2 linked regions of the Drosophila melanogaster genome follow. The protein of the gene in region 1 binds, or shares a complex with, the protein of each later gene. Each region holds a gene or a part of one and is shown on either strand. Other genes may lie near its edges.

What was found.
Region 2: CSN3 (region 1) and CSN5 share a complex: the UniProt entries of both Drosophila melanogaster proteins name them as parts of the CSN complex.

The regions. Positions count from the first base shown.
Region 1 is NT_037436.4:20,832,331-20,848,722, reverse strand, and holds CSN3 (COP9 signalosome subunit 3), read left to right. Parts: upstream 1-7,146; 5' UTR 7,147-7,258; coding exon 7,259-7,313; intron 7,314-7,426; coding exon 7,427-7,675; intron 7,676-7,734; coding exon 7,735-7,997; intron 7,998-8,055; coding exon 8,056-8,250; intron 8,251-8,321; coding exon 8,322-8,498; intron 8,499-8,825; coding exon 8,826-8,957; intron 8,958-9,016; coding exon 9,017-9,199; intron 9,200-9,257; coding exon 9,258-9,325; intron 9,326-9,382; coding exon 9,383-9,398; 3' UTR 9,399-9,627; downstream 9,628-16,392. Other genes in the region: CG32432 (uncharacterized protein), read left to right, coding at 209-400, 478-887, 943-1,158, 1,212-1,545, 1,603-1,869, 1,928-2,111, 2,168-2,374, 2,432-2,633 and 2 more; CG11456 (uncharacterized protein), read right to left, coding at 5,168-5,302, 5,365-5,742, 5,795-6,320, 6,374-6,672; CG13255 (uncharacterized protein), read right to left, coding at 10,138-10,341; CG3288 (uncharacterized protein), read right to left, coding at 11,768-12,138, 12,203-12,512; Pka-R1 (protein kinase, cAMP-dependent, regulatory subunit type 1), read right to left, coding at 14,637-14,721, 14,854-14,993, 15,066-15,440, 15,518-15,877. UniProt on the Drosophila melanogaster protein: Component of the COP9 signalosome complex (CSN), a complex involved in various cellular and developmental processes.
Region 2 is NT_033777.3:16,463,805-16,478,732, forward strand, and holds CSN5 (COP9 signalosome subunit 5), read left to right. Parts: upstream 1-6,294; 5' UTR 6,295-6,374; coding exon 6,375-6,635; intron 6,636-6,688; coding exon 6,689-7,265; intron 7,266-7,324; coding exon 7,325-7,470; 3' UTR 7,471-7,602; downstream 7,603-14,928. Other genes in the region: CG42232 (uncharacterized protein), read right to left, coding at 1-2,581, 2,659-3,033, 3,089-3,169, 3,229-4,871, 5,029-5,072, 5,146-5,367, 5,430-5,603; Gyc89Da (guanylyl cyclase at 89Da), read left to right, coding at 9,566-11,569. UniProt on the Drosophila melanogaster protein: Probable protease subunit of the COP9 signalosome complex (CSN), a complex involved in various cellular and developmental processes.

The sequences.
Region 1 (16,392 bases):
CAATTTCCCGTTTAATATAATTTAGATAGTGTTCTTCACTGTGTAGTTAGTTAGTGCCACCCACATGGTGAAAACAACAAGCACCACCCACATTTGTCGCCGACTCACTCATTTCGCTCTCTCCTCACCCACTCTGTTCTCCTTCTTTTTCGCCCTGCTCTCTTTCTCGTTCTCCTCTTGTCTCTCGTTGTCCTTTCGCTACCCGCAGGACTACGTGACCGTGTACGACGGCTACACCACACGTGACCCCATCATATTGAAGTTCTGCGGCGGTGGTCAGGCGGTGCCGGCGGCCGTTTCCAGCGGTCCGGAGCTTTTGGTCGAGTTCAGCACGTCGCCGTTTGGCACCTTCACCGGCACCTCGTCGCAGGTACTGCCGCTCTACGGATTCCAGCTAGAGGTGAGTGGGTCACCGGTCGCCAAATGGCAAGGCACTCTTCTGGGGAAAATGCTTGACTTTGTTTTTCCCCTTCGCAGGTCGAAGTTCAATTCGTGGACATCCAGAGTCCCACGTACTCGAAAAACAAGAAACCCTGCGAGTTTTGGATTCGCGGTGCAGGTCGTGGCATCCTCGAGAGTCCCAAGCACTCGCTGGCTCCCAATTCCACGTGCCTGTATCACCTCCAAGGGCTGGGCGTCTTCAAGACCTTTGACCACCTGAGTTTGTCGCGCAGGACGAGCAGTCAGTCGGGGATGCATCAACCGCTCTCCCGGTTCAAGGTGTGGATTTCTGTTCTGAAGTTCAACTTGGATCCGGAGTTTGGCCAGATAGATGAGACATCCGTGGGCGCAATTGGAGTGCTGCAAACGCAGGAGGATTGCAGTGGAATGCTGCGCATCTGGGATGGAACACTAAGGGATGCACCCGTTTGCAAGGACTTGAACTGGTAGGTGATTCATCTTATACACAAAGGAAGACACACTAATTTCAAATTTTTATAGTGCCACCGAGACGAGTAGTTATAACACCTTGGGTCACTACACCCATAACTCCACTAGTGTGATTGCCAGATTTTGTCGGGGCACAATACCACGCACCTGTGATAGATCTAACATAAACGAGACCTACGCAAGACCATGCACCATCTCGGAGAGCTATGTGTCCACCAGCGATGCCATTACGCTCGAGCTACGCAACACGGAATCCACAGTATTAAGGTGGGGTTTCTTTTGAAGTACTTGTCCAAATCCCTGGTAACCGTTTTTTTTAGACCACTGGATTTCAAGCTGAAGTACGAGTTCATTGATTTGCACCAGGATGGTTTGCCTTGGGGTGGTGGGGAACACGATTGCAATCGGAAGTTCCTTAGCAGCATGATGGATCGCAAGGATCCTGCCATCTTCCGCAGTGTCCGCAACATATTCCTATTTGGAAGAGGAGGAACTAGAAACCTTAAATGCATCTATAAATTCGAGGCACAGCGAGGCGAAAGGGTCAGAATCAAGATGAGAAAAGTAACGACCACCAACAGACCGTGCTATTCACGTGTGGATGAGGATATCAATCGCTCCTTTTGCTATGGCGATACCAATGTCAGAATTGAGGTAGGTATAACCACCTTTAAGCTTTCCAATTTTACTTAATATTACGTTTTACTTTAGATCTTTGAGCGACCCTACCATGATTCCATTTTACTTCATCGAGGCTGCATGTGCAACTCCTCTAACCAATCCCACCTACCGGTGGAATACACGTCTACAAGTCGCGATGTGGAGGTGCACTTCATCGCCCAAAACATGACCACCTTGGACGATCCAGATACGGTTAACTTCGAGGGTATGTTTGAGTTCGTCAAGGCTCCAACAAGCTGCAAGGATGGACGCAGGAAATTCGGACCAAGTGGCACTATAGACATGACCTTCGGAGACGTATGTAGATCCGTAAGCTTTAGGAGGCACAAATGAGATTTAAAATTTTTGTAATCAGGTGGAGTGCCGCTCAAGACCCTGGCTCATTGAGCCTTCTAATGGCAACAAGTTTTTGTACGTCCGCCTGAAGGCCATTTTCTTGAGTAAACACAATCCCACGCAGACACTGAACGCGACCTATGTGCAGACAGATACTTGGAGATGTGAGACCAAGTCCAGAGCTGTACTAACCACGTCGGAGGGTAGGCTATAGGATGTTCCATTATTGTGCCAGCTCTACAATCTGTACTTCATTTAGGCCTAACCATTGTGGCTTGTCCACTGAGTCCCGACTCGAATGCCTACGAGTTTGTGGAGATCTTTAGTTCCGGATGGAACGAAAGGCCAAATTTTGCGCTTGTCAATCGATCCCGAGCCATCAGCGTCGAGTTCCTGCGTCCTGGCAACGGGGAGTACTCCTTCAACTGGATGGAACTGATTCCCAGGCCCACACTGAGCATGGCGGGTAAGCATAATAGATGATCTTGATTCAAATGGTCTTCTTATGGATCCAATCTCGCAGAGGACTGCCAGTTTAAGTGTGCCGAATTGGGTGCCTGTGTAAATGCCAGTGTTTGGTGTGATGGTGTAGTCCACTGTCCTTCCGGGGACGATGAGACCTTCCTGCAGTGTTCAGCCTTGATGAAACTGCCCGCCGAGATCCTGGCCACGCTCTGCCTCATCTTTGTGCTCTCGTGTTGTGCTTTCGCTGCCTTTGCCTACAAGTATGTCATCTATTACAGTACATGTCCACTAATTCTATAATTTATTACATTACCACACTCGAAATAGGAAAATCAAACGCAAGCTGCGCGGCTCCTCGGTGCTGCAGACGCGACTCAAATCGCTGAGCTCGATGGACACGGCCGTTCTGGATGAAAAGGAGGTGATTTGCTGACAAAGCGACAATTCTGTACGTTACGTGGAGATCGATCGTGTGACCACGGTCTGATGCTCGACGGCCAGTAACGTGCAGAATTGTGCCCCGGAACAGACACCAGTATCGCCACCACAAGTCAACCAAGAAACAGAAACCACAATTTCAACTGACGCGAATGCGAAACGCAACAATGAAACGATGAGAAGAAAAAATGCAACCCTTTTTCGAAATCAAAGCCGAACAACCAGAATCAAAATCGCTCACCTGTTTTTTAAACTGCATTTATATGAGAGCGTATCCGCTACAGATCGCAGGATTTTGTTGGTTCTATTTGTATTAATCTCTATTTTATAGATCAAAAGACTCAGATGACAAAGTGTTCCCCTGGTTTTTAGTGTCGCGCAATTTTATAAGCAATTTTCTAGGCCTAGGGTTTTTCGTATGTATTTTCGATATGATTTCCCAAACTCGACCCACAAAAACCAACACACTGTACATACTAACGATTGCTTAGCACAGGACGACGAGGACCAGAAATCGGACAGATCTGACCAGTTATAACTTCCACTACGTTCGTGTCCTTGGTTCTTACAGAGTACTCATAAACCTATGTAGATACAACTGTTTCCTAATAGCCTTTAAGTGTATCGTACTATGCTAATCGAAACCGACAGACAAGTGATGATCATCATCACGAGTTTAGATGGGAAAGAGTTAGTTTTTTTGGAGAACGTTTAAGAAACTCACACAGCATTTATTATGCGGCGCACAAAACAAACAAGTAATAAAATCAAAAACAAAACAAAAATAGTAAAAATCCAAAGGAGTAAGCTGACGGAAGGGAGATGATTAATCGACCATTCCCAGAGTAGATCGTAAGTGGAACATGTTTTACATTTTAAGATTGATGGATGCATCGTAAACGTAATTTAGTCGCCAGAGGGACGCAGTGGTTAGTCGAATATGTCAATATACATACAAGCTAGATGAATTCGTTAGTTGTTTAATAGACGTTGTAGTGATCATGGATAATATCAGCATAATCAAAGCTAAATCAAGGCAACAATTTATAGGTATCTCGTCGTATTCAAAGTACTCAAAAAACCCAGTCGAATCGAAGTCATTCAGAACTCACGCCCATTGTTGTTAATGTTGTTGTCTCCAAAGTGCACAGTTCGCTTCATGCCACACCATCTAGCGCCTGCTCCCTCACCACTAAACCAAACCAAACCAAATCAGATCAAAATCAAATCAAATCAAAATCAAAACCACACCAAACTTTGCATGGTTATCCTCGTATGTTGGCTCTGGGCTCAATGGCAGCTGACTTAATCGAATCATTTTCTATTTTGTATTCTCTCTTTGAACATCCCTTTTGTGTCGAAGAAAAAACCCGTCGTTGAAACCAAGATCTAAGGCTCGGGGATCGAAAGCAAAGCAAAAAGCACGGCCTGGCCAAAAAGGAGGGAGCAGGGATCAGGGACTCGGAAAATACAACACAACAGAGTGTGAATCAGTCGAAATTATATTTTTGTTTAAACTCTTCTTCCTTTTCAAGAACTGTAAATAAAACAAATAGAAGCTGTATGATATTAACAATTTTATATTGAGTGTTTTATTTTCCATTTTGCTGTACTACTCAGTTGCACTCTCAAATAGTGAATATGTTTTGATATTCGATTCAAACTCAGACAATAAACGTTTAAATCTATTTTGTAACTCGGTAGTAACTTATTTTCATTACTATAGCAAACAAGTGGACAGGAGTTGCATAACTTTTGGATTCTCCAGATCACTTGGTCTGCGAAGTCCTGTAGCTGATTAAATGCGAACGAAAAGAAATATATATTAAACCAAAGTAAAGCTCAACTACTGAACTAATTAAATCAAATTAAATATTAGCAACTTACACAAGTTATTAGTGAACTGCCCAAATGAAAACATTTCTGTCGTAAACTAGATTTAACGGCGCTGATCTTGAAACCGAACTGAAACCGGATGATTATCGCTGGCAGAGTAGATTTTTAAATTTTAAATTAGTTTAAAGTAAAGCGTAACTGATAATTAAACGGAACACGGTAAACCAGCATGACTAAATAATTCGAATGTTGAACAAAAAAATCATATCAGATTCTAAAATGATATTAAATTTAAATGGAAAACTGAACAACTTAATAAACAAGCATTTAAATCCCCAAAACAAACTGCATGAGAACATTATTTTATACAAAACTCTTTACAGCGCATTGGACACGCCATATTCAACAAATTGAATTGTACATAAATACATAGGACATAAAAACAAAGTAATCAATAAAAAATGGGAAGTGAATCAACTCAACGCTTACCCCTAATCTATCAACTTAAAATGTTATAATTTTAGTCCTTTAAGTACGTGGGAAATTGAGTATCTTCAGATGGAGGAGCTGGTATGGTTACACCACCCGTATCCAGAGCTGGTTCATGGGGCAATGAATCCACGCTCTCCAACGGCATAAAACAGTCAGCTGAAATCTGCAAAATAAACTGTAGCTTATACAAATGATAAAAGATGATGAGAAGATCAGGGGACATACCTCCCCGTTCTTGTCGCCCACTTTTCGAGGATACTTGAAGCCAGCGGCACGTGCATCCATAGAATCCTCACAATTTGTGATCAAGCCCTGTCGATGATCCTGTTTGTGGGCTCGTAGTCGTTCTACATTAATTGAGGTGAAGCTGCAGATATCACAGCACAAGTCCCTATAGGCTTCGGCATGATTGAGCCGCATGTGGCGCTTAAGAGCATTGGCTTGGATGCAGAAGTAGTCGCACTGACTACATTTCAGGCTGCTCCTTGTGTCCTGGCTATCATGACGCTGCCGATGCTTGTGCAGGACACTGGGATCGCGAGTGGAGAACTTGCATTCGCCACATTGCAGCGGCTTCTCGCCCGTGTGCTGACGCATGTGAATCTGGAAAGAGTATTAGGTAGCAAGAAGATCGTAAAGTGCTATCTGAACTCACTATTAAGCTAGCCTTGCGAGCCGTCTTTTTGCCACACACATTGCAGATAAATGGCTTGATTTTGTTGTGAACAGTCTTCACGTGTTTAGAGAGCGTTTTACCGTTGACAAACTTGCGATTGCAAATCTCGCAAGTCTTCTCGGCATAGTATTTGTTTTTCTTTGACGATGGTGGCAGAGCAGCAGGTTGCGCGGCCATCTCTGCGGACTGTTCCTTGAGCTTTCTTCTCCGCTGAACGGCAGCCAGTGACCGGAGCACCCTGGGTCGCCACTTTTTGTGAACCTGCATGTGGCGCCACACGAGAGCGGATATGGGCGACTTGTAGTTGCATTCGAAAACGGGACACACTAGTAGGTCCACATCCACCTGGTGGGCTTTCCACAGGTGAGCCGAGCACCGCCGCCAGTTGGGCAGTTCCATGCCACATTCGCAGCAGGAAAAACTGCCACCCTTATGGCAACTACAGTGGAGCTCCATTTTGGTAGCATCTTGGAACTTGAAGGGGCATTCCTTTCCAAAGGAGCACCTTTAACAAACGAGTTTGTCAGAAGCTTATGGTAATAATATGGACATACATACGGCTCTAACATGTTGGCCCTTAGCACCAGCCGAAAGTCCTTGAAAGGCATGGGCTGCAGTTCACTTGCCGGGGGTTCCGAGTTCTCCGATCGCTCCACAACGGTTTGCTTATCCTGGCTGTTGCTGCCGGCTGCAGTTTGTTCCTTAGTTGAAGTCTTCGCAGTTTTGTTTTTGACACTGGGCGTTGAGATGGGCTCATAGCCGTGAAAGTAGACGAGATGTCCTCGAAGATCCTCCTGGAGATCATATTGACGAAGGCAGAGACTGCACACATATACGATTCGCGCAGAATTTTCCATTTTATATTAGTTACATTTCGTATTGGGATATTAACAGCAATTCAATAACAGCAACAAAGTGTTATCGAAAATAGTGAGCACTATCGCGGCTGCACTATCGAAATTTGAAATAGTTGTTTTAGAATAATTTTCTTAAAATTTCATAAACTAAATTATAAACATGGCATAACGCTGATTCTAATCGAAATTTGAACTAGTTGTTTTAGAATAATTTTCTTAAAATTTCATAAATTAAATTATAAACATGGCATAACGCTGATTCTAATGGTAAGTGCGCGAATTAAATTTATATAGTATAGAGTACAAAGAAGAGCATCAAGTGTCTTAATCCTTTAATTTTTGTGTGCCTGTTCTAAATTTTTCCAGCTGAGTGATAGTGTTATAAGTTATAGATGGCGCGTTATTACAGAGCCAGTGTAGAACAACGCTGTCTTTAGGCCACTAATCGATAAGAAATCGACAGCACCGAATATTCATCGTTTTATTCCCAGCTCTAATCCGTCGGCAGTCATTTGTTATTTCGCGAAATTATTTTTCGCAGTTTTGCAAGTTAATAGGCCAAAAAGTAGTCTCGGAGTTACCTAAAATGGGCAGCGCGCTGGAAAACTATGTGAATCAAGTGCGCACACTGAGTGCGTCCGGTAAGTTGGCCGACCGGCGAAGAACGATCCTCAAGAAACCGGGCTCGTTGCCGCCTTTGTTTTGATATTAAAGCGATTCGCAACTAACTTTGCTGGCTGGCTTTTCATCACAGGAAGCTATCGGGAGCTGGCCGAGGAGCTGCCGGAGTCGCTGTCGCTGCTAGCCCGCAACTGGAGCATTCTGGACAACGTGCTGGAGACGCTAGACATGCAGCAGCACTCGCTGGGCGTGCTCTATGTGCTCCTGGCCAAACTGCACAGTGCGTCCACCGCGAATCCGGAGCCGGTACAACTTATCCAGCTGATGCGGGACTTTGTGCAGCGCAACAATAACGAGCAGCTGCGCTATGCGGTGTGCGCCTGTGAGACATGAATCTTCTGTTCCAAAAGTACCCTAAAAGTAATCACATATCCCATTCAGTTTACGAAACATGCCATCTGTTTACCGAGTTTGTGGTGCAAAAGAACCTCAGCATCCTGGGCATACGCATCATTTCGCGCGCCATCGACCAGATTCGACAGTTGGAAACCCAGTTAACTCCCATACACGCCGATCTCTGCCTGCTCAGCCTGAAGGCGAAAAACTTCAGTGTGGTGCTGCCGTATCTGGACGCGGACATCACGGACATCTCCACCGTGGCAGCCGAGTGCAAGACGCAACAGCAGCAGCAGTCCCAGCACGCGGTATTCACGGTTGAAAATGAACTTCTGGGCTACTAGAACTCATAGATTAATTTTTTAGGATGCCAACAACGATGCCAAGTACTTCTTGCTGTACTTCTACTACGGCGGCATGATCTACACGGCGGTGAAGAACTACGAGCGTGCGTTGTACTTCTTCGAAGTCTGCATCACCACTCCGGCAATGGCCATGTCGCACATCATGCTGGAGGCCTACAAAAAATTTCTCATGGTTTCACTCATCGTCGAAGGCAAGGTAAGCTGGACAACAATTTAGTTCCGTTTATATATCAGTCTCTCAATCGGAAAATCTTGTGTCGGTTGCAGATAGCGTATATACCAAAAAACACACAGGTCATTGGTCGTTTTATGAAGCCGATGGCCAATCACTACCACGACCTGGTCAATGTGTACGCGAATTCGTCTAGCGAAGAGCTGCGCATTATCATACTCAAGTACAGTGAAGCATTTACGCGTGATAACAATATGGGACTGGCCAAGCAGGCAAGTATTTAAGGGTCATTCCTGGTTCTTTTCTAATCTGTGGCTTCCGTATGTAAAAAGTAAGACGGTATTCGAAAAAAAAATTAAAAACACCCAATTCTTTTCAAGGTTGAACAGTGCTACAAATTGAACTTTTAATTACTCACCGTTTCAAATAAAAAAAAAATAATTAAATTTATGCGGAAGTATAAACATAATATAAACATAAAATTATTTCCGGTGGAAATTAAATTTAGATTTTTCTGTATTCTAAACAACACAGTTTTTTAATAAGATAACTGGCAGAACCATCTAACTATGAAACTTTAATATTGGGTATCCCCTTAGGTGGCTACCTCCTTGTACAAGCGAAACATCCAGCGGCTCACTAAAACCTTCTTGACCCTTTCCCTGAGCGATGTGGCCAGTCGTGTCCAACTTGCCAGCGCAGTCGAAGCAGAGCGTTACATTCTCAACATGGTAAGAAGTTGTCTTCTTTTTTCGTTTTTTATTTATACCGAGATAATACCTAATTGCAGATAAAATCGGGTGAAATATATGCCAGCATCAATCAAAAGGACGGTATGGTGTTGTTCAAAGACGACCCAGAGAAATACAACTCACCGGAGATGTTCCTCAACGTGCAAAATAATATAACACACGTTCTGGATCAAGTTAGGCAGATCAACAAAATGGAGGAGGAGATCATTTTAAATCCAATGGTAGGTTCTATTGTGAGGTTATTGGTTATATGTTATTTGTTTAAATTCCATTTGGCAGTATGTGAAAAAGGCTCTTGGCAGCCAGGATGATGACCTAACGTCGCAGCACCCAAAGACTTTCTCGGGGTGAGATTTGGAATAAAAACGAACCGAGAATTGTTAGTAATGTTTCCTTTGTTACAGTGATCCCACAGATTGATGATACCACTGCCACAGAACCACCAGCAGCCTGCTGCTATCATTTCTACGCTCATCCAATCCCCAACACCGTTTACCAGAACTTGTCGAAGCCGCGAGGCCCTGGGCCCGAAAGCTGACGTCTCTTGCAGTCCGTACTCATTCAGCTACCACAACAACAAACTGCGCTCTTATTGCAAATTTAAAGATGAACATGCTATTTTAAATAAACTATGTATAAATCTATGACTAAGTCAGGGATCCTTATCACGCATTTGATTGACTCACAAATTATACGTCTCGATACTGCAACGATAAGGCTGTTGTGCCTTTTCTACGCATCGTTCGATCAGGCGACGTTTTACTGTCTGGACGGATCGGTTAAGTGCTTTGTACTTGCCCCCAATCTACCTTAATTGCAGTTCAGTTATCGTTCACGTTATTTTATTTACAATATCAATGTACATGTAACCTAACCTTAGGGCAAAAACAAACAATTAAGTGACTAGAGGACCAGCGCGTTTAATGTAGTTAATTTCTACTCGTAAGCCTAGTTTCGTGTATTTATTTACGTCTAGTCTAGTTGCATAGCTTAACATATCAACAGGCGTCTAGGTTGTGTGGTTCGTGCGTGTGGGTGGTCAGCAGCTGTCGTTCGTCGTACATCGCTCCAATCGCCCGAATTAAAACCGGAGCTCTGACATCGGAGACTGAGACTTGAGATTCTCGCGCCTCTCATAGCCAGCTGCGCTGCACCCATCCTAACCGGTCTTCATGGCGTCTAGCTCCATGATGGAGGTCTTCAGCTGCTGTGCCGGAGAAACCAGCCCCGTTGATACCTCGCCGTTGAGACTGCGATACAGCTTGTGGACCACATTGACCAGTATGAAGCACACAATGAGCACCAGCAGCGACATAAAGACGTAGGCCAAGACCAGCGGTGCGTCCGAAATGGGGTCCAGCATGGCGATATGTTTGAATACAGAAATATATATATACCGAGAATATGTCTTGAAAATTTGTTGTGACTTTGTACACTCGCTTTCCGTAAGGAAATGTTAAAGAGTGTAGTCCAGACAGCTCAGGTTCAGGTAAATAGACGGGTCGCAACGCGTATGTAAATTAGCCACTTGAGCATACACATATATAGCATGTATATGATATTCTGGAATTGTGACCGCGTCGGCGTTTCGTGTGTACGTCGCTTGACACCTGCCCGAGAACTGAAACGAGCCGAGAGCGTTAAATGGATGGAACTTTGCTTGGCATTACGTATACGCTTCGTTGCCAGACTGTTGCCGCTGTAGATCTTGCTGTATGTTGTGCGTCCAGTTTTAAGTTTTTGGCTTGGTTCTGATAAGCCCCTTGTGCAATAGAGTCTGTAACTTGGGCCAAGATTAGAAAATCGCCTCCACTTCTTGGAGTTCCCAGCGACTGAGAGCCGCCGCTCTTTACATCTGGCAACTTTTCGGACTCCAGCTTTATTTAGAACTCATGGAGGAATTCCAGTCGCATTCATATTCGCCTCGCAATCAAATCAACAACGCTGCCTTCTTAATTGGCCGCGTCAATAAAGAATGAAATGGCGTCAAACAAATGCTTGGGGTCCCTCGTCTCGTGGAGGTGGCGAGATCTGGTTGGGGGTAGTGATTTCGGCAATTAGGCATGATAGCCAGGCTATCGACTCGGCCTGAAAAGCTTTTTATCTACTGATAACGAATTTCACAGTCACAATGATAAGACCCAAAGACCCGCGAACCCCACAAGTTAAGGTTGCGTGCCATGGGAGTAGGAAAATCCAATTGTTAGAAATTAAACTTGGAGCTTATATTAAAGTATCACCTTATAGTCCTATAAATATATTTTTGAAGACTCCCCACTCAGCCTTTTTTAAATCAAACACCAAACATATTAATGTAACGTGACAAACTTCTGTATGTGGAAAATTACCTAACGAGCTGTAAACTTTTGATTTGTTCAGCGTTGAAAGAATTCAAAGTATGTTTTGTTTTCTTAAATAGGTCATTAAATGCGGAATTCAGTTTATACATAGGGAATGGAAAATCGAAATTGTTATGGAATTTATTAATGGGAAAATAGGGCTGAAAATTTAAATTTCCTAGATCGAGTAGCTGGTAAATATATTTACCCAAAAAAGGAAGCTTAATTAACACCCCCTATAAGAACACACATGTGTGCGCCTCTGTTCCGCTGGCTTTCACCTTCGTTGTCACGCGATTATCGTAAACTAGCGTGAGCTCAGTGCCCGACCCACTGAACCAGCCGTCGACCCTGGAGCCTCCAGCTCATTGATCTTTGTATACAATTTAATAAAACTAGTTATACCGCGACCAAGCAGCCCAGAACAGACGACGTATACCCCCCTATCCTTTAATCCGGTATCCGGGAGTTCCGCCTTGAGGAACCAGGTCGGCAGGCGGCGGCGTTATCCGTACACCTGGCATCCTGGTTATCTCTGGCCTCCTGGATCACGTCGTCGAGGGTCAACTGGATACGACTGTCCGGCCTCGGGTCCGGCCGCCTTTGGTTACACTTGAGCATGACTTTGAGGCGCGGGATCTTGGAGAGGTGGTCATAGAACCGCACTATATGCAAGGACCCAGAAGGCCTCGGTTCAGAGGCAGCACACACGGGCTGATCCCGGCAGTTGCACAAGAAACTGATGGCCTTCCGGCTGGAACTAACATCGAACTCGGCGCTGACCAGGTAGCAGGGCTCCAGGGAGAGCACTATACGCATCACTAGAGGAAGAGAGTCCGGGAGGAAGAGTAGGCCGAGCAACTGTCTCACTGGCACTGATCTTACCCGAAGAGGTCTCCAGGATCTGTGACCGGTTCTGAATCCAAACTGACCGTAAGCTCGGCTGATTGGAACGTGGGCTGCGGAGCGAGCTGTCCAGGTATTCCCGTATGGTCATCGCATGATTGGAGTGACGCAGTCCCAGGAGCTGTTGCCGTGAGTTGCCGGGCAAGGCGGCCAGAGGCAGGTTGTCGTAGACGGAGACATAGATCTTGTGGCTGATATAGACCACCACGAAGCACAGGATGACGATGAGCAGTCCGATAAGCAGGTAAGTGAACAGTGTCGGTATAAAGAAGATGGCGTCCAGAAACATGGGGTCGCTGATCCGGAAGTGCTAACTCACTGACAGAATACGCAAATCTACAGAGAGGGTTACGGGAATCCATGGGAGGATCTTCGAATCTCTTGGTTTTTGCAACATCTATGTAAATGTATTTATTTCGTAGTTTCTGTATTTTTTTATTGTTTATTTTTTGTTGTTTGTTTGTTGTCAATTTTTTTATGGATTTCTGCCTTGTTTTTTACATACGATTTTACATTGATAATATTATGCTTGTAATTTAATTGTATTCCACTCGATCTCCTTGCCTCCACTGCCTGCACGTCGGCTTAAAGTTGATTTTTCCGTGACCTCAAAACGATTTTGCCTTTTATTTTCGTTTCTGACCCGCCGGCGGGTTCCATCTACGCCCAAATGGGCGTGGCCTGCACACGGCGCAGACCCCTTACAAATGTTCTACATAGGCTCAACCTTTAGCATTTTGCATTTTGCTCATTTTCTAACAGTGTCTCATAGCTGAAATATTAGCACAGATATTTTCGATTTAAGCTTCTGGTCTGTAAAAATGTCAAAATTTTAGCTTTATCTCAGTATGTGTGCATTTCAAAATCGCATTTTCCAGTTATGACTTCATGTTTGAGAGGAGGTGGATGAGTGTGTGCGCGTGTGATGTAGCAACAGCTGTAGATAATGTTTCATGATCTATCGAGCAGATATAAGCTTTATAAATATATACACACAAATGTTCTTGTTGGCTGCGTTTTTTTCTGAGTGTTGTAAATGCAACTTCTCGTTTGGGCAATATTCATTAGTTCACACAGATACACACGCACACTCACCCAACACACAGGCAAACCCATGCTATCCGATATAAATTGTTGCAGTTATCTTCTCGTTAGCTGGCAGTTTTGGGAAATGCCTAGTACATTAGTTTTGAAACTTTAGAGGTATTCCAAGAAATGTGTATAATCAATCAATTTTAATTTTAAATTTTCAACTATCATAACGTGATTAAAAAGTATTGTATGGCTTTTTTTTAAAGCCCAAAACTCCAAAATTACAGTCTTACAATATAAGAAAATAAAACAACTTTCTAAACTTGACATATGTACATTTTTGAAGAACGGAAATACCTCTTTGATAACAGTTAAACTAGGCATTCGCTGTGCTCAAGCTTAAATTAGTTAATAAAAAATCATAAAACTATGTTAAGATTACAAAACACCTTTCGATGAAGAAACAAGAAACATGTTAAAAAATCATGAAGTTTTCACTGATTTTAATGTTTAATTGAAAAGTTTACGCTCGCTGACTTCACGTGGTACGCGTTTACTTGTAAGAATAATTTACTAAAATTAAAATTAAAATGGTTAATTAATTGCTGCCGTTGTGCTTTTGTTCTAGACAAAAAACAACGAATCATACAAGCAAAATACCATTGTTTCATTCAAGTCCTATCATTTCCATGACTTCATGCCTCGTATGAGAGTGTGTGAGTTGGTGTGTCTGTGTTTTGTGCCTGTGTGTGTAGCCTTTTATGATTTAAGTTATTACACATATATTCATCTTGTTTATTTCTTTTTTTAAAAACATTCAGATGTCTGTTGGATATTTAATGAAACGTTTTTGAGGAGGCAGCATGTCCCATAGATTATACAAATGGGCTCTCTTTTTCGAAAGACCCGGAGAATTTAAAAGAAGTTGAGAGAAGTATATAGATGTATCCGGGGAAAGCTATCTCCGATATCGGGGGTCGCGGGGTGTGGAACATGCCGACGCAACCTTTGCACAGAGACACACACATACACAATTATATAACTTCAGCACAACATACAGAATCGGATAATTAATATTTGTTTAGCCCTCAGCCCGCGTGCTCTCTGAATCTGAATCTGAATCTCCGACAGAATCGAGAATCAAATGGCTGTGACAATTAATTTTACACACTTATATAAGTTACGACTTCATGTTTATGCTGCTGAGCGTTTGTTTTTCTTATCTATATATCTATCCAACTAGTTCCCATCGTCTTCCTGTTGGTTTCTCACGTTCGCTGCGTTGTTGTTTCTGTTTGTTTTGTCGGTTGTAGTTGCTTTCTTTGCTGCTGCTGCTCTTTGTTGTTTATCTGCTGTAGTGGTTGTTGTCGTTGTTGCGGTCTTAAACGGACAACGATACGAAACTGTTGTATTGCGTGATGTTGCGTTTGAGTATGTCGGCGCAGGGTCCCAACACGCGTTCAAATCTGCAACAAAGCCAAAAAAAATTTACAGGTTAGCTACTGGAGAAGTTACTGGAGACAATTGATTTTATAATTGCTTAAGGTCATTAACATACACCTGCCTATTTGTCTTAGCACTCAAGCCACTGCACTTACCTCGCCCGGTCCAGTTTGACGCATTTGAGCGGCCCACGAGCTACAACAGTCGCTGCACGTGGTCGGTCCAAAAGCAGAGCAATCTCGCCAAAGTAATCGCTGCTACCCAGACGGCCCACCTCGGCGGGATCCTCGCCCTGCTGATTAGATAAACGAGTTGATTAGAGTGTCTCTTTTTAGGTGTCCCATGGTGTCTGATCGCGGTCACTCACCTCAGAACGCTGCTGCAGCACCACCGCACAGCCCTCGAGGATGATGTAGAAGTCATCGCCAGCTGCTCCCTGCTTGACAATCGTCTCACCGTCATCGAAGGAGCACGTCTCCAGGGAATCGGCCACTGTGAGGCGCTCCCATTTGTCCAAGCTCTCCAGAATGGACACGCGCGATAAGAACTCCTCGTACATCTTGCGCTTGCGGATGGTCGAGCCCATCAGAATGCGGCGGTAGGAGTCGCGGTCGATTCCCCACAGCTTCACATCGGTTTTGGCGCGCACGGTGGCGGCGCGAGGAGTGCCATAGATGAGGGCCAGTTCACCAAAGCTGCCGCCCTCGCTGATGGTGGTCACTAGTTCGGAGTTGACGAAAACCTGGCGAAGATGTGAACATATTCATAATGATGCAAACCCAATTCAAAGGTCATAGCAAGAAAAATAAATATACTTACATCGACCTCTCCCACATCAATCACGTAGAAGTTGTCGCCTTCATCGCCCTGCTGGATGATATTCTCGCCGGCGATGTGATTCACAGGGAACATGGCATCAAATATGTCGGATCTCTCGCTCTCGTCCAAGTGAGCGAACAGGACGTTCTTGGCAATCGCCTTGGACAGGGCATTCATCGTCTTGTAGTCCTTGGGCACCACCTTCTTAACATAGTTGGTGGCATCCTCTTCGGTTACGGGTTCGGCGGAGATTCCGCCTCGCCTGCGAACCGGTGGAGCAGCTGTTTGTGGCATCGGGCTGAGATCTTCGCAGTCGTCGGGGCTGATTACCTGTCTACTGGCATCCAGTTTGACTTGTTCCTGCCAAAGATATGAATAACAATATCGTTAGTATTTTGGGTTTGCTTTATCGCACATAAGTCTCGATTCATTATCATATTTGTTGAACATTATCTGAATAAAGATAAAGGCCATGCTGGAAATGTTGCACGATATTGCAGAGTATCTGGCTAGATTTAAGTTTAATATTAGTATAAGAACGGACTTAGCAGGTCTAATAATTGCAGAATAAAAAAGGTTCTATAGATTCCCTCAAACTCTCTCACTTTATGGAACTTAGGTGGTGCAAATTTAATTATCTGCTGCAGGAGTCAACTGCCCAAGTGCGTTAGCGACCAATTGCCAGATTAATGTGCGTCACTCTCGATGGATGTTTGGAAACTGCAACCAGTGGTTGTTCTCTGCAGCATTGTGCATATTGTCCGGAGACGCGCCCGGAAAAGCTCCACCCGCCCACATCCGTAACTCATAAGCTCCATCACTGCGTCGGCAGTCAAAAGAGCCAACCGGAGTAGCTGAAGAGCTTTGCATCCTGA
Region 2 (14,928 bases), on another chromosome or scaffold:
TGTGATGTTTCGATGACTTCCTGGGTAGTCTCATCAGGTTTTGCTTTCTCATGCGGTTCTTCGGCTGGTGATTTTTCAAAAATTAGTTGATCAATTTGACTTAAATCAGGCACTATATCAGTTCCTGCTGTTGATAGTGGTTCGTCACAAGAAGTTTCGATGGTTGGCCTAGTTTCAGCAGATGGTGTTTCGACAATTACTTGATCCTTTTCACTAGAAGAAGGCAACTCATCAGGATGTGCCTCTTCTAAGGGTTCTCTTTCAGGCGATGTTTCGATGATTGGTTTAATAGTATCATCTGTTTTCGTCTCTTTGAATGCTTGAACCATTTCACTAACAGTAGGCAACTCATCAGCTTTAGCTTCTTCTTGAAGTTCCTCGGTTGGATACGTATTGGTGACGGATTGGATAGATTCATCAGTTTTTGTTTCCTTTAAAACTTCCATGACGGGATACGGTTTTACTTCTTGTTTAGTATTATCTAAAGTGTGTACCTCCTCACGTTGGATATTCTCTGAAAGTTCGTTGAGAGGCGAACTTTCGATGCAATGTTGATTAGATTCCGCATCAGTAGAAACATCAGGTTCTTGTTTTTGTTCCACAAAAGGCAAAGTCTCAATGGCTGGTTGAATGAGTTCCCCATCAACGGAAACCTCATTGGAGTTGGTTTCTTTTACAAGTTCATCGGAATGTGATTCAGTCAACGGTTGCTTAGACTCTGCGCCAGGGGCTTTTGGAGTCGGCGAAGTTTCTGTGACTGGTCGATCCGATTCTGCAGCACTCGAAACCTTATCTGGTTTGGTTTCTTCGGAAAGTTCTTCAGAGCGCTCAATATATGGTTTGGAGTTGTCGTTGTCGATGGGGTTACCATCACCAGATTTCGCCTCTTTTGCCAGTTCTTTAGAAGAGGATATTACGATTGGTGGTTCATCAGTATGCAAATCACTTTTATTGGATGGTAATACTTCGCCAACTGAACGATATAAGTCAGTAGAGGATTTTTCATCTGTAACTGAAGTGTCTTGGGCATCGTTTGTGGCCTTGGCATCTTCTTGATTAAGATTATGTTCAGGTATAGTTTTTTCCACACTACTGTCAAGGACATTAGTAGAATTGATCGAACTATCCACTGTTGTGTCTAAAGGAAATATCTCTGACTCTAGGATCGTCAATTCCACTGCAGATTCAATATTTTCATCTGAATTAACTGATGCGATATCTAAACTTTTCTCTTCTTGAAGTTTGCCACCTTTGAGATTTCGGTCAGGTATAGTTTTTTCCACACTACTGTCGAGGACATTAGTAGAATTGATCGAACTATCCGCTGTTGTGTCTAAAGGAAATATCTCTGACTCTAGGATCGTCAATTCCACCACTGCAGATTCGATATTTTCATCTGAATTAACTGAAGCGATATCTACACTTTTCTCTTCTTGAAGTTTGCAGCTTTCGAGATTTTGCTCGCAAGTACTTGCCTCAATTGTGGTATCTTCCACTTCAATTAGTGAAATTTCACTGATAGCACCCGTTTCGACATCATATTTACTTGAATTCTCATCGACAGTTTTGTGTTCCGTCAGATTGACAGATTCTTCAAGCTTGTAGGCTATAGATGGTTCCTGAGCACTGTCAGATTGTTTGGTAGTTCCTTCCGATTTCTTTGGCTCCTCTTCATCATCACTAAATACCAAGGGCTCAGTAAGGCCAACATTTGAGTCTGTATCTGAGCGATCCTCAATGTTATCAATAGGTGGATTGGTCTGGCCTAAAGGCCTCGTCTCATCCACGGTGACTTCGCACGACTCCACGCCCGAAACTACTAGTGCTTCGGAGAACATTGAGTCCGACGACTGGTCCAACAACTGAATTCCACTCATCTCGTTCGGGTTGGGCGAAACAGACCTGAAGTCGCTAAGATTGGGATTGGCATGCATGGTAGCTTTGTAGGTGGTGCTTGTCAGAGGATCCTCTAGGGAAGCGCTCGCTGTGGCTGTATGCCCAACATTCATCAGTGCCTCTGATGCCACTGTTTTATTCTGATTTATTGAATCCAAAGGATCAACTCCAGTCGCTGTGCTGATCGTTGTCACATTAATTTCTTCCGTGTCTTCCATATTGGCCCCAGTCGTTTCGGACATGTCCTCGAAAATCTTGTCCAAATGCAATGTGTTGTTCGTCACATTCAGATCGTATTCCGTGGTTGCCCCCAGAAAATCTTTGCGAGACTTTAACACTGTGCTAGCTGGTTCATTTGGCACCATGATATTCCGGGCGCTGGGCGTCTTCAGAACATTGTCCAGAGGCTTTCCTTGCTCCATGCGAGCTAGTGCAGTGCTTCTTCTATCGTGGTAAGGAGTCCTACCAACAGAGGTTTCTAATAGTTCTGCCATGTTTCCTATAATTGGTGAGGCAGGAATTTTCGGAGTGCGCATCAGTTCCCTTAGCCCTTTAAAGCGGGGTGTGCTGCAGCTTTTTGGTGTTTTCAATAAATCTCTGAGGCCGTGGAAATCTACCTTGTCAATATCATCATTTGGCAGCTCGTTGCCATAATTTTCGTCGTCAGCGATGAAAGATTTGCTATCTGTAAAAAATATAATTTAAATCAAATAAGCCATTATATTTCCATTCCATTTCATAAATGATATTGACTCAACTTACCATCTTCGGAACCAACTTCTTCCAATATGACTCCCATATCGCCCACAGATTCATCCACCTGAAGTTCCCTATTGGGTGTGTTCTTAATACGCAATGATTGGCGCGTTGGCGTGGACATTTCTTGCGTAAATTGCCGCTTGCGCCGGGGAGTAACAGCGACTTGGCTGTCCATTGCTGAACAGGATGCACGACGAGAACGCTTGTTGTCCTTCTCAGGTAATGCCTTACTGCTGGCCTCCATCGAGGATCGCCGAGTGCTTCTCCGTGGCGTTGTTGACACTGCCCTCTGCTCAACAGAATGACGGCGCAAGCTTCTGCGAGCCACGGGGGTTTCTGCACTTGGAGTTGGTTGGTTCTCTTTTTGAGATATCCCTCCTGTCGCAATAAAATAAAAATGTATTTTGGGAATTTTCAAATTTAAATCGCTTACCAGTTGAATTTGAATTACCAGTAGTACTCTCCAATGGCAGCTCTTCGCAAATACTTTCCTCGATTATTTTCTCAGAATTAGCTGTTACGGTTTTGGAACATAAGATTTCATAATATTTATTTCATATTATAGGTACTTACAATTCTTAGTTTGTTGAGGAATATTCGCATGAACCTCTTCGCAAATGTTATCCTCAATAACAGCATCCTCAAGTTGTTTGTCGATTGGAAGTTCACAGTCTTTTTCTTTACATTCGTCTTCATTTTTGCCGGTTTTCAATTCATTTTCGTCACGTTCATTCTGGTCGAGTATGACCGCATCTGGCTTAGGATTCATATCTTCCTGTGCATATTTTAACTCGCCTACCACATCAGATTCTGACCCGATCGACTCAACTTTGTCTTGGATAGGTGCAGGCTCTTCTGAGGTCACTGACGGAAGCCTCTTTTCAATTAGCGAGCTTAGCTGAAAGGATACATCATCGTCTACTTCCCCAGTTATGAGAGCTGTAACCGCTTCGATTGCCAATGCTGCGCCACTCTGATCGTTTCCTTGGGTAGTATCATGCAGTATAGTGAACGTGCGGCTCAGCTCGTCCTTTGAATCGTCCGGTTCTTCCGGAGTGGAGCTCTTGATCTGGGACACATCGATTTTTTTTTGACATGGAGATGACGGTTTAGATGATCCAGGCTTAGGGGAGCCACTTTTCGGCGAGTTAAGCGAACGACGTGCCTTGGCTACGAGCTTGTTGCTCTTGTCAACGCCGGGACTACGCTTGGCAGCCGCAAACGATTTTCTGAGCTGGGAGACCTTGTTCTCTCTGGGAGACTCCATTAGGGATATACGCTTGCGTGGCGAGGTCTTGGGTGCGTTTCCTCTCGTATGTCCTTCTCGCTGGACTGGCGTACGACGATGTGGATGGAATGGCAAACGCCGAGGCGTAGTCAGGCAGTGGCGACGAGCCTCCAGAAGAGATGTCCGCTTGGGGGTGGCTATGGGGGTGGTCTTATCTGGTTGGTTGGAGGCGATCTGCTTTTTAATGCTGGTAAGCAACGCTCGTTTCATCAGTGACTGGGGCGTTCTATTGGGTGTGGTGATTCCAGCCGGACGCTTAGGAGTTTTATACCGTTGCGAAGGGCTTGCTGATGGCGGGGTGTCAGAGTTAGTTATGTCTATGACTAATGGGGATGCATCTGATGATTCGTCGGTGCTGTCTACACTGATAGGCGTCTGTTTGGGTGTGAGCTTGAATCCAAGCGTCTGTTTGGGTGTTTGTCGTAGCTTTGATGGGGTGGTCAGGTCGATCAGGAACATGGACGAATCCCGCTTGGTTTTTTTTGAGGTGGATGGCGTGCTAAAGTCCATTAGATCTCGGCTGCAGCTGTCTTCGTTTAGTTCAGAGAGCACATTGCCCTTGGGGGTGCTGTATACGCTCTTGGGCGTGGAAACAGCCAAAGACGTCGTGGTGTAGCCAGGTTTTCGAACACATGAAAAGGATTTCTCGATCTTCACGCCAGTCTCGCGCGGCGAATAAGAGGTAATAACCACGTCGGAGATGGCGCACAGCCTTAGTAGCTTTTGGTGGCTACCTGGTGGCGTTGCGGTATTCTCCTTATTCTGCGTAGCCTCCAGAAGATTTACTTTGGGGGACTCGTAAGCTGTCTCCTCTGTGCTGCGCTGAATTGATTCATTCAGTGAGACATCCTCCAAGTGAGACTCACTCTGATCACGAGACTCTATAGAAGTATTTCCTTCGTCGTCCGAATTGATGCTGTAGTGAAAACTGAAAAGGTATAAGCAGAGATAAGGTTTTATGAGGACTATTAACAGGCAGACAACACATGCTTGCAGTAGGGACTTTTTCCTATTGTTGTTGCCCAAAGACATTTTAGGGGTTGGCCAGGTAGTCGGTTAGGGGTCTGCCTGCTGTTTTCACTTACTTGTGAACTGTCAGGCGTTTTTCGGCTTGTAGACGATGCGATTGCTAAATCAAATAAAAATGGGGAAATTGTAGGACTTGGAATACTGTACTATCTGGAACAGATGGCGGCTATTACCTTCAATGAAGGGCAGGAGTTTGAGGCCTGTTCGTTGGGCAATAGGCGTTCTGGGGTGCATGGGGCATCCTGCACCTCGGAGGTCTTGGGGAACTCCCACGTGTAGACCTTGTCTCGAATGGTAATCTTGCCACCGTGTAGCAAAGGACGCTTGCCTGCAGCGTGGATGGCCACGTCGTTGAGATGAATGGGGTCTCCGCTGGACTTGTTGTATATGATGACCTAAGGGCGGAAGAAGCAGTATGTTAGGGCGGTTAAGGGGGATTCCTGCCATCCAGACTCACCCTGCCGAAGGCATCGCAGTTTATTTCGCAAATTAGACGCTCCTCCTCTGGCCCCTCCAGGATGAGGTCGCAATTGTAGTAGGAGCCCACCTGGAAGGTGCGCCCTTTGGCTGCCAGAACCACGGTTTTACCATTTTCGTCTTCGTAGCGCAACCTACCGCCATCCAGCGACATTTTCCAAGCGGCGTCGCAAATGCGGCTTGGGTGCGGGGAAAACGAATACCGAAGCGAGCACTTTGAAAAGCCGCAAAGCTATTGGGAATAATACGGTAAATGCACGTACACAAAACACCCACAAACTATTCACTGATTTCTTTCACACTTTTCCACCAGACACTGTTTTTACGGCCCACATCACGAGCTTGCCAAAGTTAATTGTAGCGAAAACTCTGTGCAGGAATTTTTTTGCAATGGACGCGCAAGCCCTGCCAACCTGCTTTTAATGCGCCGGCTTATGCGTTACATTTAAAATTCGGGGTGCAGGAACTGACAACTTACTTGAATTAAAAGTGGTTTATATTATGTGATTATTAATAATGGTTAATCTCAAGAAGTGAAAAGAAAGATACAGATTACAGATACTGCGATGAATCATTTTGTCACTATGAAATAAGGTTTTAAGTTTTTTTTAGTCAAAAATGCTGCAAATTAGAGTGCGTATCGTAAACAGAAAAATTAAATTAAAAAACTTTCCTTGGTAAAAAATTAACGATTAAAAATACATTTTATTTATTAAACAAATAAATTGTTAATATAGATAAATTTTAAATTTTTTAATCAATATTTTAATTTCTTAACTTATAATAATCGATTTATAAAAAATATCGATTGTACCTTCATGAAATTGATTGTACAGATGGTACCGACAAGTTCATCTCTAGAATTGAGCCGGAAAACAAAAACTTGCAACAAAAGACTACAATTTTCGGCATAAGTACAATCACAATGGACTCCGACGCCGCACAAAAGACCTGGGAGCTGGAGAACAACATCCAGACGTTGCCCAGTTGTGACGAGATCTTTCGCTACGACGCCGAACAGCAGCGGCAGATCATCGATGCGAAGCCCTGGGAGAAAGATCCCCACTTCTTTAAGGACATTAAGATCTCGGCTCTGGCGCTCCTAAAGATGGTGATGCACGCTCGCTCTGGCGGTACTTTGGAGGTGATGGGTCTAATGCTTGGCAAGGTAGAGGACAACACAATGGTGAGTTATTGAATGTAAAAAAGGTCCTCAATTTATAAGTCATTCCCGTGCAGATTGTCATGGATGCATTTGCACTGCCAGTGGAGGGCACTGAAACCCGCGTCAATGCCCAGGCACAAGCGTACGAGTACATGACCGCCTACATGGAAGCGGCCAAAGAGGTGGGACGCATGGAACACGCCGTGGGCTGGTATCACAGCCATCCCGGTTACGGTTGCTGGTTGTCCGGCATCGATGTGTCCACCCAGATGCTCAACCAGACATACCAGGAGCCATTCGTGGCCATTGTGGTTGATCCGGTGCGCACTGTTTCCGCTGGCAAGGTGTGTCTGGGTGCATTCCGCACGTATCCAAAAGGTTATAAGCCACCAAACGAGGAGCCCTCGGAGTATCAGACCATCCCGCTGAATAAGATCGAAGACTTTGGAGTCCACTGCAAGCAGTACTATCCCTTGGAAATTAGCTACTTCAAGTCTGCTCTGGACCGCAGGCTCCTCGACTCTCTGTGGAACAAATACTGGGTAAACACACTGGGCAGCTCGGGTCTGCTCACCAACACAGAGTACACCACCGGTCAGATCATGGATCTCTCCGAGAAGCTGGAGCAGAGTGAGAACTTTTTAGGTCGCGGTACATAATGGGTCGATTTAGGAATTGTGCAAATAATTTACCCGCTTTATTATCCACAGGAACCGATGTCAATGAGAAGCGTTCGGAGGATAAGCTGTCCAAGGCCACCCGAGACTGCAGCCGCTCCACCATTGAACTGATACACGGCTTGATGGCTCAGATTGTTAAGGACAAACTTTTCAACAAGGTCGGACTGGGCAAATAGTTCAACACTAAAATTCGCAATGAATTTTAAAATGCATTGTGAATTTTCTTTTCATTTCCCTGGGAAATATTTAAGTAAGTCAAGCTTATCCAAAAGAAAAAGGAAATTATAAAACCGCCTCATAGGCTGATGAAAAAAATCTCAAACGCTTTTACTTTTAAAATGGGTTCTTTTTTGTAGAGAAACTGTTTTCGTTATTTATGTATTAGACGACGGAAGGCATAGTAAAAGTTGAAACTTTTATTCGCCTGGACGAAAAACAGCCGATCCACCATTTATTATATTCTTTCAGATAAACAAACCTTTTTATTGTTAAATAAAAAACGCTTCTGCATTTGACATTTATAGAATATAAAATAATTGGACATGGCGATAAAACATTGTCGAAAATGTGATGCTTGGGTAAATCAATTGGTCTAGAATTATGTAACCCGAGCCGGTCTCAAAGCAACAACTGAAGCCCACCGACTGAAACATTCCCTAATTGCTTCGGGATTTTTAAAGTAAATATTACACAGCCTGGTTAGCTATACAAGCCAAGCCGCGAATGCGTCCCTCTCATCAATCAAATGGTTTCATTATTTTCATCGTTTGGTTTATTTTACAACTTGTATTCCCCGATTGCGTGTTTGCCGATGGGCTCTAGGGTTTCCCTGACAGACCCGTAGTCTACTGTCTGCTCCTGGGAGCGAGAGCTACAAGTGAGATGTCAACGCCCTTCCAGCACGTGGCCCAATCAATTTGAAGGGACAGGAAGGGGGCCGCTTGCGAAGGGCGCTAATTAAATACGCTGTCACGTTTATGGCCGCTGTGAAGTATCAAAAAAAAAAAAGGGGGGAGGGGGCGCCAAGGCAAATACAAGTCCTGTTTAACCGTTATCATCACTCCTGCAAGGAATGCCCATTAAAATGTCAACATTTGTGTGCTTGTGCAGGATTTATTCTGTGGAATTTTTAAATCCTCTTAAATGTAAATGTAAATTGTGGCGCATAACAAGTCCAAAAATGCCACATCAAAAAGGGAGATAAACAAAATAACAAGAAATATTAACGCACTTGGAGTAAGCAAACGAGAACCTTTATAAAGATTTACGTGACAAAACCAACGAGGACTGCGTTTGTGCGTGTAAGTTATTGGTGGTAAGGCAATAAAACTTTCATTTTCAGACATTATATCGAAAAGTAACCGTCAATTGGCATCAACAAGGAGCATTGACATGAAATGTAACACTGCCAAAGGGGGTTAGACCCTCCGCTTGGCGAATGGGAAGGATGAGTCTACAACGATTGCCGAGGTGCTATAAAAGTCCCAGCGACGAACGACAGGCGCTTCATTCGCGTCCTGGATGCCAGTTAGAAAGCTTCCTGGATGCCAGTTAGAAAGCTTCCCATTCGCGATACACACATACAGTCCAAGCCGAGGGACGTCATTCCAGCATCTACAGCATCCTCCTCGTGCGCTTTCGTCCAATAAAAATCAAAGTAATAGCAATGGAAAACCTATTCTCCGAGTGCTATACGTGCGTTTAGTGCCTTGGGAACTTTAGCCAGCATATGTGCTCCTTCATATTGTGTGGGAATCTATTGAATTTTCAGTTGTAAATTTCAAGTTGTAAATAAGTTAGCAGAGTAATAGTGCATATTTAAAGTGAATCACAAGCAACGCGATTAAGGAAATTTAAAAACTTACAAGGCGGCGATTGAATATTAAACGGAGACTTTAAAGTGAAACTTAACCACGGGGACCTGTTGAGCAAAGCAAGTGAAATTTAAAGAAAAGTGTTGAGAAGTGGAATAAATTGAACTACTAAGAGAGATTCTTTTAAAGTCATGTTTTTAATTTGTTTAAATTTTATATGTAATATACTCAAAAAAAAAGGTTAAATTTATTTTATATGCAGATGGTAAATTAATTCTGATAGACACTTCTTATAACTTCTTATAATATATAATTTCTTATAATATATAACTTCTTATAAAGGAACAATCGAACAATAAATTGAGACAATGTATCTCGTTGTTTTTATTGTTTTATCATGTTTTCTTGTTATACATTTAATCGTCCATTGTTTTCCATTTTTTCAGAAACATAAACCATGTATGGAATGCTGTATGAGAGTGTGCAGCACTACGTGCAGGAGGAGTATGGCGTGGACATTTGGCGGAAGGTGTGTCACATCATCGACTGCAAGCACAATAGCTTCAAGACGCACCAGATCTATCCGGACAAGCTGATGCCGGATATCGCCGAGGCTTTGTCCGCCTGCACGGGCGAGTCCTTCGACTTCTGCATGAACTTCTTCGGGCGCTGTTTTGTGCGATTCTTCAGCAACTTCGGCTACGACAAGATGATCCGCTCCACCGGGCGATACTTCTGCGACTTCCTGCAGTCCATCGACAACATTCACTTGATTATGCGTTTCACCTATCCCAAGATGAAGTCGCCCAGCATGCAGTTGACCAATATGGATGATAACGGAGCTGTGATCCTATACAGAAGCAGTCGCACTGGAATGTCCAAGTACCTAATTGGGCAGATGACCGAGGTGGCCCGCGAGTTTTACGGCCTGGAGATCAAGGCTTACGTGATCGAGAGCCAGAATGACATCAGTGGAGGCACTGCTGGTCCCATCAAGCTCACGGATGGTCCCTTGACCGTGATTGTGAAGTATCGTCTGGACTTTGATAACCGGGAGTACATGGCCAAGCGCGTCAATACGGAGGCCCATCCCTCACAGCTCAAAATGCCCACCGTGAAACTGGATGTGTTCCTCGATCTTTTTCCCTTCACATTTGTGCTGAACCACGACATGAAGATCACGCATGCTGGTGAGAAGATCGTTGAGACCTGGATTATGCACAATCCAGGGGCCAATCCAAAGAGCTTCATTGGCACCCACGTAATGGACTTGTTCCAATGCCGTCGTCCGAAAGACACCACTATCGACTGGGATACCCTGATCCAGATGAGAGCCGTGCTCTTTGAGTTCGAGTTGATTCGCACGGGTCACAATCGCGCTGCCTACGATGCTGTCTTAAACATGGACTTTGAGAACTATGACGAGATGGACTTAAACGAAGCCCAAACTATGGCGCTGGCCAAGGCTCAGGAGTTCAGTGAATCCCATCCGGTGGATGATGATGAATCTGCGAGAGAGGATGAGATCGACCCTGCCACTGGGGAACGTCGATCTTCCCAGGGCTTGAGGTCCATCCTTTTGAAGGGACAGATGTTCTACATCAAAGATGTGGACTCGCTGATCTTCCTGTGCAGTCCTCTAATCGAAAATCTCGATGAGCTGCATGGAATCGGTCTCTATTTGAACGATCTTAATCCACATGGACTGAGTAGAGAGCTTGTGATGGCGGGATGGCAGCACTGCTCCAAGCTGGAGATCATGTTTGAAAAGGAGGAGCAGCGATCGGATGAGCTGGAAAAATCGCTGGAGCTGGCAGATTCCTGGAAGCGGCAGGGGGATGAGCTGCTCTACTCCATGATTCCGCGGCCCATTGCCGAAAGAATGCGACTCAGCGAAGAACAGGTTTGCCAGAGTTTCGAGGAAGTGTCCGTCATCTTCCTCGAGGTGATGAACGTCTATGATGAAGGATTGAACAGCATTCAGGGAGCTATGCAGACGGTGAACACTTTGAACAAAGTATTTTCCGCTCTGGATGAGGAGATCATTTCCCCATTCGTTTACAAAGTGGAGACCGTGGGCATGGTTTACATGGCTGTTTCGGGTGCTCCTGATGTGAATCCCCTGCACGCCGAACACGCCTGCGATTTGGCCTTAAGGGTGATGAAAAAGTTCAAGGCTCACGATATGGGGGACGTGGCTATTCGAGTTGGCATCAATTCGGGACCTGTGGTGGCTGGCGTTGTGGGCCAAAAGGTTCCTCGATACTGTCTGTTTGGGGACACCGTTAACACCGCCTCGCGAATGGAGAGCAGCAGTGATCCCTGGAAGATCCAGCTATCGAAGTACACCGGCGATAAAGTGCGCCAAGTGGGCTACAAAGTGGAGTCGCGTGGTACGGTCCAGGTCAAAGGCAAGGGCGACATGGAGACCTACTGGCTGCTGGAGGGTCCCGAGGGCTAGGAATAGAAAAATATTAAATGTATCTTTATTTATAGCACCATGTTCTGATTGTACGGCACCTGTGGCTCTCTTAATTTGTTGCAATAAAAGAGAATTTAGCTCTGCTCCTCTGACTTTTTGTGAAAGTATAAATAATACCTATTTCCTGCTGGTTTTGGGACAAACTTAATTTGTTTAATAATACCAGCTATCTATGTAGACAATAGACTCTTATTGAATACACCCTTTATAAGCTCAAGTTCTTATAATATCCTCCATCCTGCCTTTTCAATTACCAACTCCTGCCATTTCCCGCAGACAACCCTCATTTCGGAAAATCCATTTTTAATAACTTTTATGGGCGGTTTGCGTGTCACTTTGCACACCATCATCTCCAACCCACGACGGACCATCGTAAGCCCATTCAAACATACAGTAACCTCCGTTCGCCTCTTTCTTATATAAATTAAATTAAGTCACTCTGCGTGTCCTTAGCTCGAACGCCTGGACGTTGGACACTTAATTCCGGTGCAATATTGAAAATAACTACACTGAACAAATAATAAGACTTTGAAAATGGTTAAAAAAAAATAAAAATAAGAATTTTGAAAATATTCTTGTATTTTCTTAGTTTAATAAAAAAATATTTTTTGTCACAAAAGTTGATATCAGAACTTTTGTGTGTTGAGGGCCATCGTCATTAGTTTTTACTCCGTTAAGAGCTGTTTTTGTTTGATTATATTGAGTTATTTTCTTCGGGACCCAATGTACATAAATATAATATTTTTGTAGTTATGCAACGCGTGCCTGTCGCATCTGTAATTGATGGCTTTTTGAGTGGTAGAAGTATCTCCTTCTTTTATTCAGCCGGGCATATTATCGTCCTCTTAGTCGAATAATGGTCTGTCCATAAAATTGTCAACGTTTATTTAATAGACTAGCCCTAAAATCCGTTTCGTTTAAGTGGGACAAAGGCTTTTTGTTCGATGCTGTGAAATCCCTTTTAAATTGCTTTAAAACAACACATCAAATATGTGCAGGATTCAGGCTAACATGTGTATGTACATCTTTTTGTATATATAACTGCGTGAAAATGGAAAAGCATTAAGCACAGAGCCACAAAACCATTCCTCCATCGGGGAAATGGCAAACGGCCAAAGCGAAAAACTCTGTTACAATGATACATTTGACAGACGGTTTTCGATACTTCAGGGCTTGGGATATACATTCAAAGTACTCGAGTATTTCTAAATTGTAAGAAATGGTTCAGAAAATTAGAACAGCGTTTTATACAGAGAATACAATTGGAAAGAAATTATCTAAAGGAAACTAAAAGTTTGAAATTTTAACATTTGTATAAGCCACATATCTATTATAACTGACTAACCTAGTCGTCAGTCTATTACTAGGTGTTATTCAGCCCTGGTAAAGACCCAAAGGACAATACTTTCCCAGGACACCGCACACATATATATGTACATCGATGTGGGGGAGTGAGCCCATAAAAGGAAATGAACGGGGAGAAAAATGACTCCTTCGGTTGTGTGACAATGTTTTACTGTTTCGGAAGGAGACAAAGTGGCAATTGTGGCAAAGAGCATTGACTGCCGATGATGATCACGATGGTCAAACAGAGAAGTGCGTGTCGAAGCGCAGGCACGTAGGTCCTAAGTGGGCCGGAAATACAGCTCCAACTGCAACTTGGCTAGTGGGTGGGCTATAAAAGGCCTGACCGCCACAGGGGCACGCTTCAGTCGACCGACATCGTCCCGGCGAAAAGGGAAAGCTCCAGGGGAAACCGACGGTACCGACGGAACCGACGGATGCGAAAGAGCCGACAGACTCACGAAGCTCGTCTGTCAGAGGAAATCATGAAGCAAAAGCAAATCAGGCAGCCAGAAGCCAAGGAAGCAGCGACAGGCGGCAAAACAAATTTAGTGTAACAATAGCAACTGCCGACGACGCAACACGGAGTACGGAAAAGTGAGAGTTTGCCGTGGAGTGCGCGTATATATATGTACCCCGACTTTACGCATCCGGGGATGCTGTGCGTGTGCAGGCGTATATGCCTTCCTTAAATTATAAATAAGCGACTGGCAAATGCCGCGTGGATATAATTAAAACTCTTTCTGAGGCACAGACAAACGACAAGCGGCTCCGATGCTGGAGAACTTCATGCGATTCATCTAGTGGATTGGAACGAGCCGGAAAGCAATATAAGGTAGCAGGGATTGCTGGGGATATAATAAGCTAATTTCACGGTTCACTAATCAAAGAGATATATCGAGAGAAATAAGGGGATTTTCATACATCCTTAAGAAGGCAGTTCTTTAAAGGATTAGGAAGCAATATGAGAAGCAGAGGAACTACATCATTTAAGTTAAAACTTAAAGTTAAAGTTGCAACTGAGTTGGCCACAAATTATTACACTATAGTCCATTTAACTTTAGCATCCAATCCATTATTTATCAATTTATATAGATTAGGGTTCTCCCTGCCACTTTCAAGCTACCATAAATTACGAGCGATTAAATCTACGTATTGTTAACTTGAGTATAAAGGAGCAGAAGTTAAGCATTGCCTTTATGTTCTTTTTGACTACGTGGATTCCCTGACCATTAATCAAACGTTAGCATTTTGAAACAGCATTTTTATCCACTTTTTACGACCTTCGGCTTGTCGGAAATTTGCATGTTTTTTGTCAAAATTAAATACACTAAACTCAGGAAAGATGTTCGAGAATTTGTGGCTCAGTTAGTTAGTCTGAGTAGAAAAAAAATGAAAAACTGGCGTTGCCACCAGCGAATTACCGGCAATAGGAAACGGAAATAAGTTGAGCACAATGAGCTATGTTCCTTTCGCGAAGAACGTGACAGATTTGAAAGACCTTGATGTGGGAAATAGGAGGATTTCCACCGCGTGTCTGCCACATGAACTCAAATTAAACTGTCGGGGCAATAAATCAAATGCTACGGAGGAAAAGCATTGGGTGTTTTTGAAGGCTAGATAAGAGGATATACTCTGACGGCTTAAACATACACCAAATGTATGTCACCTTACATTAATTACGTGTTTAATGGATTTTAAATGCATGTCTCTAAAAATAGGAAACAGATTTCACGCATAAGAACAGCGACTGAATACAATTTAATTTTCACTCTAAGTAGTTACTCAAGACTATATCAGCGCAAGACTTTTTTATGTAGCATCCTAGCCTACTACCAATCACTTAAGTTGTGTACGAGTTTGTTGGCCTAATCCCTGACCCAACGCAACGAAATTGTCCTAAATCCTCCGGGGTACGAACACAGTTTACCTAATTACCAGCTCAGAGCGATGGAAAAACTTTGGCTAACCACACCCCTAAATATGTGACTGCC